Mus musculus: one gene and its partners. The protein of the gene in region 1 interacts with the protein of each later gene in a pairwise test. Links are inferred from orthologs where the notes say so. Each region holds a gene or a part of one and is shown on either strand. Other genes may lie near its edges.

The links.
Region 2: the proteins of Cdc42ep2 (region 1) and Cass4 interact in binary tests that used the Homo sapiens proteins (3 or more experiments, as listed by UniProt). The link is inferred for Mus musculus from reciprocal best matches to the Homo sapiens genes CDC42EP2 and CASS4.
Region 3: the proteins of Cdc42ep2 (region 1) and Arhgap26 interact in binary tests that used the Homo sapiens proteins (3 or more experiments, as listed by UniProt). The two-hybrid records come from large-scale screens. The link is inferred for Mus musculus from reciprocal best matches to the Homo sapiens genes CDC42EP2 and ARHGAP26.

What each region holds. Positions count from the first base shown.
Region 1 is NC_000085.6:5,916,728-5,919,856, reverse strand, and holds the end of Cdc42ep2 (cdc42 effector protein 2), read left to right. Parts: intron 1-863; 5' UTR 864-1,181; coding exon 1,182-1,826; 3' UTR 1,827-2,301; downstream 2,302-3,129. UniProt on the Homo sapiens protein: Probably involved in the organization of the actin cytoskeleton. May act downstream of CDC42 to induce actin filament assembly leading to cell shape changes. Induces pseudopodia formation in fibroblasts in a CDC42-dependent manner.
Region 2 is NC_000068.7:172,413,568-172,417,815, reverse strand, and holds part of Cass4 (cas scaffolding protein family member 4), read right to left. Parts: intron 1,697-4,248; coding exon 1,274-1,696; intron 1-1,273. UniProt on the Homo sapiens protein: Docking protein that plays a role in tyrosine kinase-based signaling related to cell adhesion and cell spreading. Regulates PTK2/FAK1 activity, focal adhesion integrity, and cell spreading.
Region 3 is NC_000084.6:38,991,342-38,996,289, reverse strand, and holds the start of Arhgap26 (rho GTPase-activating protein 26), read right to left. Parts: upstream 3,138-4,948; 5' UTR 2,815-3,137; coding exon 2,661-2,814; intron 135-2,660; exon of another isoform or gene 1-134. UniProt on the Homo sapiens protein: GTPase-activating protein for RHOA and CDC42. Facilitates mitochondrial quality control by promoting Parkin-mediated recruitment of autophagosomes to damaged mitochondria.

The DNA of each region.
Region 1 (3,129 bases):
TTTTTCAAGATAGAGTCATACTACGTAGACCAGGCTGACCTCAAAATCAAAGGTCTACCTGCCTCTGCCTTCCTAGTGCTAGGATTAACAGTGTAACCCACCAAGCCCCACAGGGGACTTGATTTTTTTCTCTTTTTAGCCAGGGTTTCTCTGTGTAGCCCTGGCTGTCCTGGAACTCACTTTGTAGACCAGGCTGGCTTCGAACTTAGAAATCCGCCTGCCTCTGCCTCCCGAGTGCTGGGATTAAAGGCGTGCGCCACCACCGCCCGGTTGGGACTTGACTTTTTAAAGTTATTTTTATTATTATTGTGCGTTTGTGAGTGTGGGCACATGTCGCAGCCTGCATGAGGAGGTCCGAGAAGGACTCCTGGGCCGCAGTTCTCTCCTACTGTGGTTCTGCAGCTCAGACTCTGGTCTCCAGGCTTTACCAGCAGGTGCTCTCACCCACCGAGCCGTCTCACCTGCCCCTGCCCCACTCACTGAGTTCTCCATCCCTTCATCCTTCTATACCTGTGGCTTCACAGCCAGAAGTTGGTATGTAGTCAAGGATGGCCTGGTACTCTTATCTCCTTGCCTCTACCTTGCGAGTGCTGAGAATACTGGCTTGTGCCACCGTGCATGCATTTATGTAATGCTGGGGCTAAGCTTGGGCTTCGTGCACATTAGGCAATCACTGTAACTGAGGTTACACCCCAGCTCTTCTTGTTGTGTATTGTTTTGAGGCAGGGTCTCATGTAGCCTAGGCTAGCCTTGAAGTCCTGATCTTCCTGTCTGTGCCTCCTGAGTGCGGGGATTATTGGTATCACCTCACTTCAACTTGCTTTGTCTGTTGTGTTCCTGATTTATGGGTTCCTTCATTTCAGCTTCTCAACTCTGGACTAAGAATCTTGGAACAAGAGCAAACCCCACTGCTGTTGAGGAGACCTCACCTTTCTGCCTCCAGCTCTCCAAAGGGACTTGCATCCATCTAGAAGAGAGGAGGGTGTATTCACCACCCTGTCTTTGTTGGCCTTTAATCTAACTTTACCTGACACCTTGGGCCAACTTTGATCACATCTCACCCTCTACTTTTGTTTTGTTTTTGGCAAGAGTGGACATTGGCCCTCTGGAGCCTGTTTTGGGCAGAGGGTGTTGAGAGAGTACTGAGGACTGAGCGGCCAGGACTGTGTGCTGAAGTCACCATGTCCACCAAGGTCCCCATCTATTTGAAACGTGGCAGCCGCAAAGGCAAGAAAGAGAAGCTTCGGGACCTGCTGTCCTCAGACATGATCAGCCCACCACTTGGGGACTTCCGTCACACTATTCACATTGGCAGCGGTGGCGGAGATGACATGTTTGGGGACATCTCCTTCCTGCAGGGCAAGTTCCATCTCCTTCCAGGAACAGCGGTGGAAGAGGCTGAGGAGGATGGCAGCTTTGACCTTCCCTTCCAGTTTACTCGCACTACAACCGTGTGTGGGCGAGAGCTCCCTGATGGGCTGTCACCTCTGCTCAAAAACGCCATCTCCCTCCCTGTAATTGGTGGCCCCCAGGCCCTCACTCTGCCTACAGCCCAGGCTCCACCTAAGCCTCCTCGCTTGCACCTTGAATCTCCACAGCCTTCTCCACAGCCTTCCCCACAGGGGGCAGGAAATGTGGACGTCTGGAGGATTCCAGAGGCTGGCTCGCCCCACAATGGGATGAGCCCTGAGCCGGAGGCCGAGGAGCCCTTCCTGTCCCATGCCAGCTCCCTGCTGTCCCTGCATGTGGACCTGGGGCCTTCGATCCTGGATGATGTCCTCCAGATTATGGATCACGACCTAGGCCGCGTGCAGATTCCTACATAAAACCCTCGGCTGGCCAGGCAGGTCGCCCAGGCTGTGCTGATGCCTGGAGACATCTATGGGCATTGGCCCTGACCTAGGAGTCAGGATCCCAGGTCACACCTATGGGTGCTGGCTAGTGACTGCCATTTTGAGCCTTTGTTTTCCCTTCTCCTAATGGACAGAGTGTATCTTTGTTTTCATCTAACAACATCCACAGAGGAGCCATGCAGAAGTTGCCTTAGAGACTCCTGAATCTCTTTGGTCATTTGCCCTCACTGCCAATTGCCCCCTTTCCCTCGGGTCCCTGTGGGGAAGACTCTGCTAAAATGGAGCCCCTCCTTTGTTGGTATCGTTGGCTATGCTCCCCACTGGTCTTTGTGTTTGGGTCTGGGAGTCCAGAAATCGTGACATCTCCCGCCTTGTGTCCTGTCCCAACCCTTCCTCACATGACCAGGGAATTCTGGTCGCAATAAAACATGTTGCTGCTGGTGGCTGAGCATCCTGTCCCCTTGTCCCAGGGGTATCCCTCTGAAGGTCGGCCAGTCTCCATGAACAGTGGGCTCATGTGGGAAAAGCCCACCCTAGAAGGTTCCGCAGAGGTTGTGCCTTCCCTCCTGGATGTGGTACTTCAGTCTGCACCCACAGTGAGAAGGACATAGAATAATCTGCACTGGTTACGTTGGAGCTGTGACAATACCTGATGAAAACAGCTTCAGGAACAGCTTTATCCTGGTGCCTGGGTGCAGCCCAGTCCACTAGGCTGAGGAGTCACGGGAGCAGGGGCTTGAGGCAGCCACAGTCAGGAAGCCAAAAGTGATATCTGTGGGTGTTTCCATTACTTTCTTTTATTTAGTCTGGGACTTCAGCCCGTGGGATGGTACAGCCCACAGTCAGGTGGTCTTTCCACCGCCATTAACTACATTTAGAAAGTCCTTCACAGACACCTTCAGAATCTCCACAGTGAGTCTGATCTCATTAAGTTGACCACCAAGACTACCATCCAAACCAAGTATCAGGGGTGGAGATTGGCCATTGATTTAGGTGTCTGGCAGGTAGGGGCTGGCAGGAGCTGGAGAGATGGCCCACTGGATACGAATGCTGGCTGTTCTTACAAAGGGGCTGGGCTCAGCTTATGTGGTGCTGCGCATTGAACTCACAACTTCTTCTTTTTTTTTTTTTTTTTTTTTGGTTTTTCGAGACAGGGTTTCTGTGTGTAGCCCTGGCTGTCCTGGAACTCACTTTGTAGACCAGGTTGGCCTCGAACTCAGAAATCCGCCTGCCTCTGCCTCCCAAGTGCTGGGATTAAAGGTGTGTGCCACCACGC
Region 2 (4,248 bases), on another chromosome or scaffold:
TCACAGGTGTCCACGTGTCCCCCAGGGCACCCAGCATCTTCCTGATCTATTTTTTCGTGAAATATTTATTGAGGACCTGCCTCACTCAAGGTGCTGGGGACATGGACAGAATAAAAGAAAGGAAAGAAAGGTCCCTGTTACTGCCTTTTTTTTTTTTTTTTTCCTGAGACAGGGTTTCTTTGTGTAGCCCTGGCTGTCCTGGAACTCACTTTGTAGACCAGGCTGGCCTCAAACTCAGAAATCTGCCTTCCTCTGCCTCCCGAGTGCTGGGATTAAAGGCGCGCGCCACCATGCCCAGCCACTCTCTTATTTAATTTTCTCCTTACTCAATTCTACTTCCTGAGGAGAACTACCTGTGTGGGTTCTTCTAGGTCTTTCCAGTCCATGTGTTCATCTGCATACAAGAACATACATACACACACACACACACACACACACACACCAAGGTTTAATCCTTCATTAAAGGATTCTGTCTTCCTTTTTAGAACAACCACATAGAAACATTTCTTATCCCTGTGTGAATTAAGCTCACCATGATGACAGGGACAAAAGATGATTTTTCTGGGACAAAGTTTGGGGGTTGGGGTAGGAATGAATCAGCAGAGAAAAGCACATGCCACCCTGCCTGTCCCTGGGACCTGCGCATGAAGGAAGGAGAGAACCAACACCTGAGAGTGTCTTCCGGTTTGCGCAAATGTGCAGTGACCCAGGCATGCTCAGGTCCCAAATAAGTAAATGGAGGGGAAAAAAAAATCTTTCAAAATGTCTGTACCCAACACTCTCCCCTGCAAACACTTGGGGACCTGTGGGTTTTCCCTAGCACCAATGTGGTCACTTCCAACCCCCTTCTGATCTCTATTTGACCCTCTTGCATGTTTCTGTAACAATTCTAGAAGTTAATTGTCTGGGGGAGGCAGATGCGAGTCTTGAACGTTATGAGTGATGCCCTGGCCTTAACATGGTGTGAATTAAGCCATCCCTTGTTCCCCTTGTCTCCAGCGCTCTCTGTGACGTGGGGTCCTGTGAATAGCCAACAAACTCCTGCACACACCTTCAACTGATGGCACAGGTTGGTCAGTCTTGGTGAGCCGGGCAGTCACGGGGATGCTAAGCGTGTGCATGAAGTGGGGCTGGGTCTTGGGCATGCTCAGTAGGGCTCTGAGGTCCTGCTTTGCACATTTAATCTGATGCAATGGTGATGACTGCAGTGTAGTGAAGCCCCTGGGTATCCCAGTACCCTTTACCCATGCTTTCATCCGGAGACAACACTCACCTGCTTGGGGAAGCTCAGCGTCTTTTCACAGATGATCCTGGCACTGGAAGGTGACTCAGGCAATTCGTAGACTTGGGCAGTCGCTGGTGACGGCCCCTCCACCCAGCTCCTCATTGGTTCATACACAGGTCCCTGGGGTGGCGGGGAGATCAAGTCCTGCACCTGGTAAGGCGCCCCGGAGCTGGTGAGATCTGTGTCTGGGCCTCTCGGGAGCAGGGGACAGGGTCTGTCTGCAGGGGTCTCTCTGAGGACTTGGAGGCGGTTGGCTGGAGCCAGGCCTTGCCTCCCGTGGAGCAGACACCTCCACCAGCCCTCGCTTTCTGGCACATTTTGTTCCACGATGGTCAGGATGTCCCCTCTGGAGAAAGCAAGCTCGTCGGAGCAATCAGCATGGTTGTCGTAGAGTGCCCTGGCCAACAGGGTCTGGAGGAGAGAACGCGCTGTTAGAGTCCTTGGCCGAGGCTGTCCTATTATTGCCCATGGCTGCACCAGGCCACCAAGAAACTGCAGCACAAGTCTCCAAGCTGTGTTCTCACCCTCCCCAGAGGCTCTGACCCTGCTCTTTTCCTGGCTGAGACTTCCCATCCTCAGGGTTTCTGGTGATGCCACATCCTCTGGGGTGCTTTGCCTGCAACCCCAAACCCAAGCTGAGTGGCCCTAATAAGCCCTTTCTTAAATTCTCAGACAGTATGACCCTCGTGGTTACACGCAGGTGTGTTTTATGACACACATTTCAGCCAAAGTCCTGTTTATTAAAGGGGCTATGCTCCTTGGAGTTTCGTGCTTGCCTGCTGCATGATGTCACATGCTGTGTCCTGTGTATACCACCTTTAGATTGAAATTCTTAGCTGTGTACCCTTGAGTACATTATCTACCCTGTCTGAGCCCATTTCCTTATGGATGAAATGAGAAGAGTAGTGTTACCTATTATTACTAGAATTACCTATTATTAAATTACCTATTTATTATTTATTATTAATGTGCTTTGCAAACACATGTATTATATACACGCACATGAAATAAATACATTTTGTTTATCTATTACTCTGTCTCTAGCATCTGCCTCGGGCACGGGCATACAGGAGAAGCTTAAGGGATGTCTCTTAGCTAGTGGCTCACACCTGCAGTTCTAGCACTCGGAAAGCTGAGGCAGGAGGATTGAGAGTTCAAGATCTGTCTGGACCACTTAGTGAGCCCTGTCTAAAAAATAGCAATAAGTGGTAGAGTGTGTGCCTCGCCTGTGGTAGGCACATACTGAGTACTGCTGTGGGAGGGGACAAGGTGACAGCACCGTGACAAAGTTTGCATCCGTCTTCACTGTCCCTTCCCTGAAGAGCATGTCTGGGACATGCTTTTTTAGTGTGTTTGCCAAAAATACTTTAAATTTTAGCTTTACAAAAACATTTTGCACGCGCATGCGTGCGTGTGTGTGTGTGTGTGTGTGTGTGTGCGTGTGTGTGTGTGTGTGAAGTGTCTAAGGGTCATCCAAGAGGCAGGGACAGGTGTTAGCTGTCCAATGGGTGCTAGGAACCAAATTCAGGTCCTCTGAAAGAGCAGCCGGCCCACCTAGTTGCTGAGTCATATCTGTTCCCTTTTGAAGCATCTTTTTTTTTTTTAATTAGGTATTTTCTTCATTTAGATTTCAAATGCTATCCCAAAAGTCCCCATATCCCCCCCACACTCCCCTATCCACCCACTCCCACTTCTTGGCCCTGGCATTCCCCTGTACTGAGGCAGATAAAGTTTGCAAGACCAAGGGGCCTCTCCTCCCAATGATGGCCGACTAGGCCATCTTCTGCTACATATGCAGCTAGAGATACGAGCTCTGGAGGTACTGGTTAGTTCATATTGTTGTTCCACCTATAGGGTTGCAGACCCCTTCAGCTCCTTGGATACTTTCTCTAGCTCCTCCATTGGGGGCCCTGTGTTCCATCCAATAGCTGACTGTGAGCATCCACTTCTGTGTTTGCCAGGCACCAGCATAGCCTCCCAAGAGACAGCTATATCAGGGTTCTTTCAGCAAAATCTTGCTGGCGTATGCAATGGTGTTAGCGTTTGGAAGCTGATTATGGGATGGATCCCGGGGTGTGGCAGTCTCTAGATGGTCCATCCTTTCGTCTCAGCTCCAAACTTTGTCTCTGTAACTCCTTCTATGGGTGTTTTGTTCCCTCTTAACCTATTCTTGGAAATACTTAGACTGTCCAAACTGCCCTGTGAGTGGGTGGGTGGCTTCTATTCATCTTGGGAAGTGGGTCACCTCCCTGCCCACCCTACCTGTCTGGAAGAGTTTATTGGTCCAGACAGGTGATGAGTCCTGCAGAGTCACAGCATGGCTGCAGAGATTTCCCCTGGCCCCCATGGTGAACCACAAACACAGGGACTTTCCTATTGAGAACTGGCACTCCTGCAGCTCCGACTACCCTTTCCATATGTTAACACATCTTCCTCCAGATGGTCAGCAAACATTTACCTAATGCTGCTGTCACGTGGCACTGACCCTGCCCCCTCCCCGCCCCCAACCATCCTTCAGTGCCTAGGCACTCTTGGGGTCCAGAAGCTTCCAGGCCCTCTGTGGTTTTCTATCTCCCATACTTCCCCACCAGCCTTCCATGGTCTCTCTGGCTGAGGATTTCGGTCCTGCCCACGCTCTCCCCTCCACCCCCAAACACACCAGCAGCTTTTCACCCATTGAAATTCCACGCTTCTAGACTCTTCATGAATGCCACTTCCTGAGAAAAAGTGTTCTTTGATGCCACCCTGCAAACCAAACTGGTTCTTCTAGCCTGTTTAGGATCTTCCCATGTCTGTCTCTAACTCACAGAGGACAACCATCCCTCTGACTGTCTCCCACGAGAGCAGGGTTCACACCCTCCTCCCTCTCAGCTGTGTCCCCCGGGGCCCACATTAGCCCTTGGTTGGTTTCATGATGGACAGGGCAGAGCCACACGCTGCTGGGGCTGTTGAGTCTCTAGGAG
Region 3 (4,948 bases), on another chromosome or scaffold:
GTTAAGTACAATGTCTTTGGAATTTGCCAACTTGTATTTGAATGCCTTGAAGCCACCTTGAGCAGGTTACTGACTCCTGGGCTGTTTGGCGTCATCATTCACAAAGTAGAAGAAATATTAAAATGATGTAGCTAAACTCTGCCAACTGCTGAAGGCCTTTTTTATCACCTCTGACTCACAGATAAAGGAAATCTGAACCCAGAGACCTGTAAAAGTACTAGCTACAACACAAATGCATATACTACATACCTACATATACTCCTATATAGCTATGTATTTATTTGTAAGCTACAGTGGACAATCACTGGCTTTTCATTAGCAGTAGTGATCAAGATGGTCTGATTGAAGAAAATTACTATAGAGGAATTAATATGATGTGCAATGCAGCAAGCACTTCACAATAACACAGTACAAACACTGAAAACAAGTGGTAAGAAGTCACGTCGATCACATGTTCTGTTAAAGCAGAAGTTACAAGTAGTGGGGTGGGGGGTAGTTCGTCATAAAGTGGAAAGACAGGCATATTTATGCCACTATCAGTCTTTCCACAGTCTCAGAGCTGACCCACCTGTCTGGTTAACCTTTGAACCCCAATATTGCAATGAGTCTTCCCATCTAAAGAATTCATGCTCCTCAAAAATAGTGGAAGGCAAATTGCCAGTCACCCAAAATGCCTTCCTCAGATTCAATGCTCAGATACAAAAATGCAAGTCCAAATTCTAGTAGGTTTGGTCCTATAGGCTCCATTCTGGGCACAAAGGGACCACGCAAAATCCACAACCACAGGCCAGTGGATGAAGCTATGGGACTCTGGGCTAGTGATTCCCCAAGTGTGAGGTTAACACACAAATAATGCCATGCCTGCCACAGAGTACTGTGCCTCCACACCCACAGGGGCAGCCAAATGTCATTGCTACATCCTAGCATCTAGTGCAATGCCCAGGAAGTGCAGGCACTTCATATGTTTGCTGAGTGAGGCAGAAGATCAATTAAGGCTAGCCTGGGGTCAGCCATGCCCGGATGGTGCATGCCTTCAATCATAGCACTCTTAGGAGGCTGAGGCAGGAAGGGCACTGCTCCAGGCAAGCATAGGGAAACCCTGTTTCAATGAAGAGGAGGTGGAGAGAGGGGAAAGGGGTGGGAGAGGGAAAGGAGAGAGGAAGGGAGAGCAGAAGGAGAGGAAGAGAGAGAGAAGAAACCAATCAAGCAAGCATAAGGGTCAACCAAAATTTCCAGACCCAGCTTCTATGTGGGTTCCAAACTTTCCTCAAACTAGAGGTAACTTGTCCCCTGAAACAAGGCAGGCCCTGATCTTTGGCCCTGGAAAGCCTTCTGATAGCTGCCCTGAGCTTTTATTTCACCCAGGAAAGACTGGCACTTGCTGCCCTGACATTCCATCCCCTCACTCTTCAGTTTTAAAAGCAACAGGCTTACTAAGCGACATCTTGGCACTTAGGTCTTTCTCGAATGAAGCCTGGGGACCATTCAAACAGCTAGAATCCTACTCTGTTGAAGCAACCATTCTTAGCTGAATGATACCATCTATTAGGAAACCCATCACAGAGACAGGAAGAGTAAAGAGTCAAAGACAATTCCACTATCTGCCTTCCCTTCCTGAGTATCAAAATGGAAAAAAAAAATGGCTTGAACTATTTTTAAATGAACCCAATGAAAAAAGGTACCCTTCTTGCCCTGCAAGGTGCTCAATCTTAGAATGTTCTAATTTGGCCACAAGGGAAAACTCTGGGCTTCCTCTTCAAAAGTTAGGCGGCATGCACATTTTAACACACACATACACCTTGTACCGAGAAGGGGGCAGGGCAGCAAAAAATGGCTCCACAGCAGCTCAGGGAACCTTTTAAATGAGCTTAAAACTTCTCTTTTTCTGAGCAAGGGCTGAGGATTCCCTCTCAGCCTTTTGAATTTTAAAAGATGTGAGGGAGAGGACGGGTATGGAGCAAGGGAGCGGGAGACGGAGAAAGACGGATGTGTTCGGTCTATTTTTAAACCTTCGCCTACAGTTTAGAGTAAAGGAACACTCTGGTCCTATACTCCCACCCCTGTCACCTTCTGCTAAGCACAAGAATCAAAACCTGCACACGTACACCGCACTGATCTATGTCTAGGGATTAATGTCAGTGCTCCCAGGAATGCAGCTAACCAATCACCCCAACGCAGAGAACCCGGTAGTCAGGACTAGGCGAGAGCTGCGTGCAGGGCTCCTGCAGGGCTCGAAGCAGTCACCACCCTCCTCTTCCCAGGGATGGGCAGCGCCCCCTCCGCACGCTCCATTCCCAAGGCTGGGCACCGAGGTGAGCAACTCGCCCCCCTTAAGGATACCAAGCCATGGGAAGCGTGGAAGTGGTTTTCCCCAACAGGCTGCGGCAGGCTCACTCCAGAAACACCTGTGTCGCACACACCCACCCAATCCAGAGTACCACCCTGATGGCCACCTTCCGGCCGTCCCCGAATGCCGAGGGCTGAGCGACCAGATTCCTACGAGGCAACTGACTCGCTCTTTTTACATATCCTTCTTGCCTCGCAGGAGCATAGACACCGGTCACTCTGCGCCCGAGGAGGGATGAAAGCCGGTAGCGCGCGGGCGACCGGGAGCGGAGCGCCGCCGCCGGGTGCCCTCCTGCGCTGCTCCGGACACTCACTCTTGAGCGCGCTGATGAGCGACTTCCCGTCCTTGATGAGCTCCTTGATGAATTTGTTGGTCTTGTCCAGCTCCGCTTCGTGTGACTTGAGCGTCTCTCGGAAGTGAGGGCTGTCGAGGCAGCAGTCGCTGAACTCGAGCGCCGGGAGCCCCATTTCTGCCCGCGGAGCCAGCCGGGCTGAGGGGACGCGCCTCGCACGCTGGTCGGCGGACACCCGCGACGACGGCCGATCCACAGGTGTGGGTGGCGCCGGCTACCCCGCGCGCGGGGTCAGCGGGAGCAGGAGACTCAGGACCGCAGCGGGGACCCGGACGGACGGCGGCTGCTCCTGCGGAGAGCCACCGAACTGCACACCGGCAGAAAGCGCGGCGGCGGACCCTTGGCGGAGCCTGGAAGCGAACCAGCCGGGCCACCGCCTCCCCGCCTCCTCTGCGGGCTTGCTCCTCAGCAGCCTCAAGCAGCCTCGAGCGCCCTCTCACAGAAGCCTCAGCCGCCCCTCCGGCGTCCGGGCCGCCCGAACCTGCTAGCGATGACCTAATCCCCTGCAGGGCCAATCAATAAGCTTGCCTCGGCCCGACCCACGGGGCCGCCAGGGGACGCCCTGCCCTTCCGCGACTCTAACCCAATCAGATATTTCTGAAGGCGGAGCCTGGGGAGAGGGGCGGAGTCCGTGCCACCCCCTGGGTCCGCAGAGCAAGCCCCGCCCCCTCCTGCTCAGCGAAGGTTGCAGAGCTAGGAGAGAGAGCCTGGTGCTGCATTCTGTAGTGGGTGCGCCCCCCTGCCACCCTGAACCCGGCCCGCCTCGTGTGACTCTAATCCGAGCCTGAAATGAGACGTCTGCTGATCTAGGGAACCGAAGAGCCTAGGTGTGCGGAGCAGAAAAAATCCAGAATGAGAACTGCCTTTCGCCGCAGCCCACCGGACACCTCTGAGCCTTTGAGCTTGCACTCAAAATACAGCCCCTTGCCCAGAAGAACACTGAGCGCTCGGAGCTCGCAATCCCTTGCTTCCAGTCAAGCAGAACGTATTTGCTTCTTTGAAATCACTAACTCCCCTTCCCTGCAGTCCTCTCCCCCCCTACTGTCCGTCCCACTAGTGGCCACTCCTGCTCAAAACCCGCCCACGGCTGCAACCCACAGAAGGTTCTCACGTCCTTAGCAAGAATTCAGCCTTTCCTACTGGATTCTTAACACCGTTTTTACACAATTCTGTCCAATGTCTGCTACTCTTCGCTGCTGCCCAGCTCCACGAGGGCACGTGCCTCCGCAGTTCTCTGGTGGGGTGTTGCAATCCTATCCACTAGAACAGCGACTAGTGTTTAAGAACAGATAATATGCGCTGTCTAACATGTGTGTAGAAAACTATGCATCATTCTCCGACTTCCAGAGTGACCATCATCCCTCTGATCAATCACAGGAGTCAAGGTTAACCGCTCCCTCAGAGCATTTGGTAGGTTGGTTCCCAGTGTCTAGAACTGAATGATGAACTCCTAGAGAACAGAGACTGCCCTTGGCTAAATTATTTCTATACTAATTAACAACACACCTTTGGGGGTGGAGGACATGGGGAAGGTGCTTCTTTGTGTTTTCAATTGGTCTGCTATTATAAACACAGCACTAGACTCGGGATGGAACCACAAACCCAGAAAGACCTTGAAACTTGACTGCTTCTGTTCTGGAGAGGAGCATCAACCAAGGAATAGCTTTGCTGTCTGATGGAAGGATCCTTGGGAACAATGAAAACGAGTTTCAGACTCCAAAGTGTCAGAAAAAGGAGTCCTTGCATGGGAAATTAATTGATGTACTTATCGAATGAATGAATGTGGTCGATTTCTTAATTTGTATCTACAAAGCCAGGCTTGGGAGCAGGCAGAGACAGCAGATAGATGATAGCTAATTAAATCCTGGAAACAGTCATTCCCGCCCTTGCTATGGAGAAGAAAAAAAAATCTGGAATGGAAATTCCATGAACGTAAATCTGTTTATTAGGCTTATCTTGAGTAACTAAAGGTAGGCACTCTGATTATCTATTGTTACTTAATGGATCACACAAAGCTTTCGTGCTATAAGACATTGACTACCTATGTGAAGACTTGGGGTTAGGAGAGAAGCAGGGATGTAGCCTATTGTGTGGGTCCCTACTGTGATCAGCATTGGTGGCAGATACTGGAGCGGTGAGTTCTCAGCTGGATCCATCTGTCTCCTCAGAAAGACTGGAGGCTTCTCCATGTGACTCTCTGTAGCCTAATTTCCTCAGAACATGTAGCCAACAAGGAGAAGCCATCACTT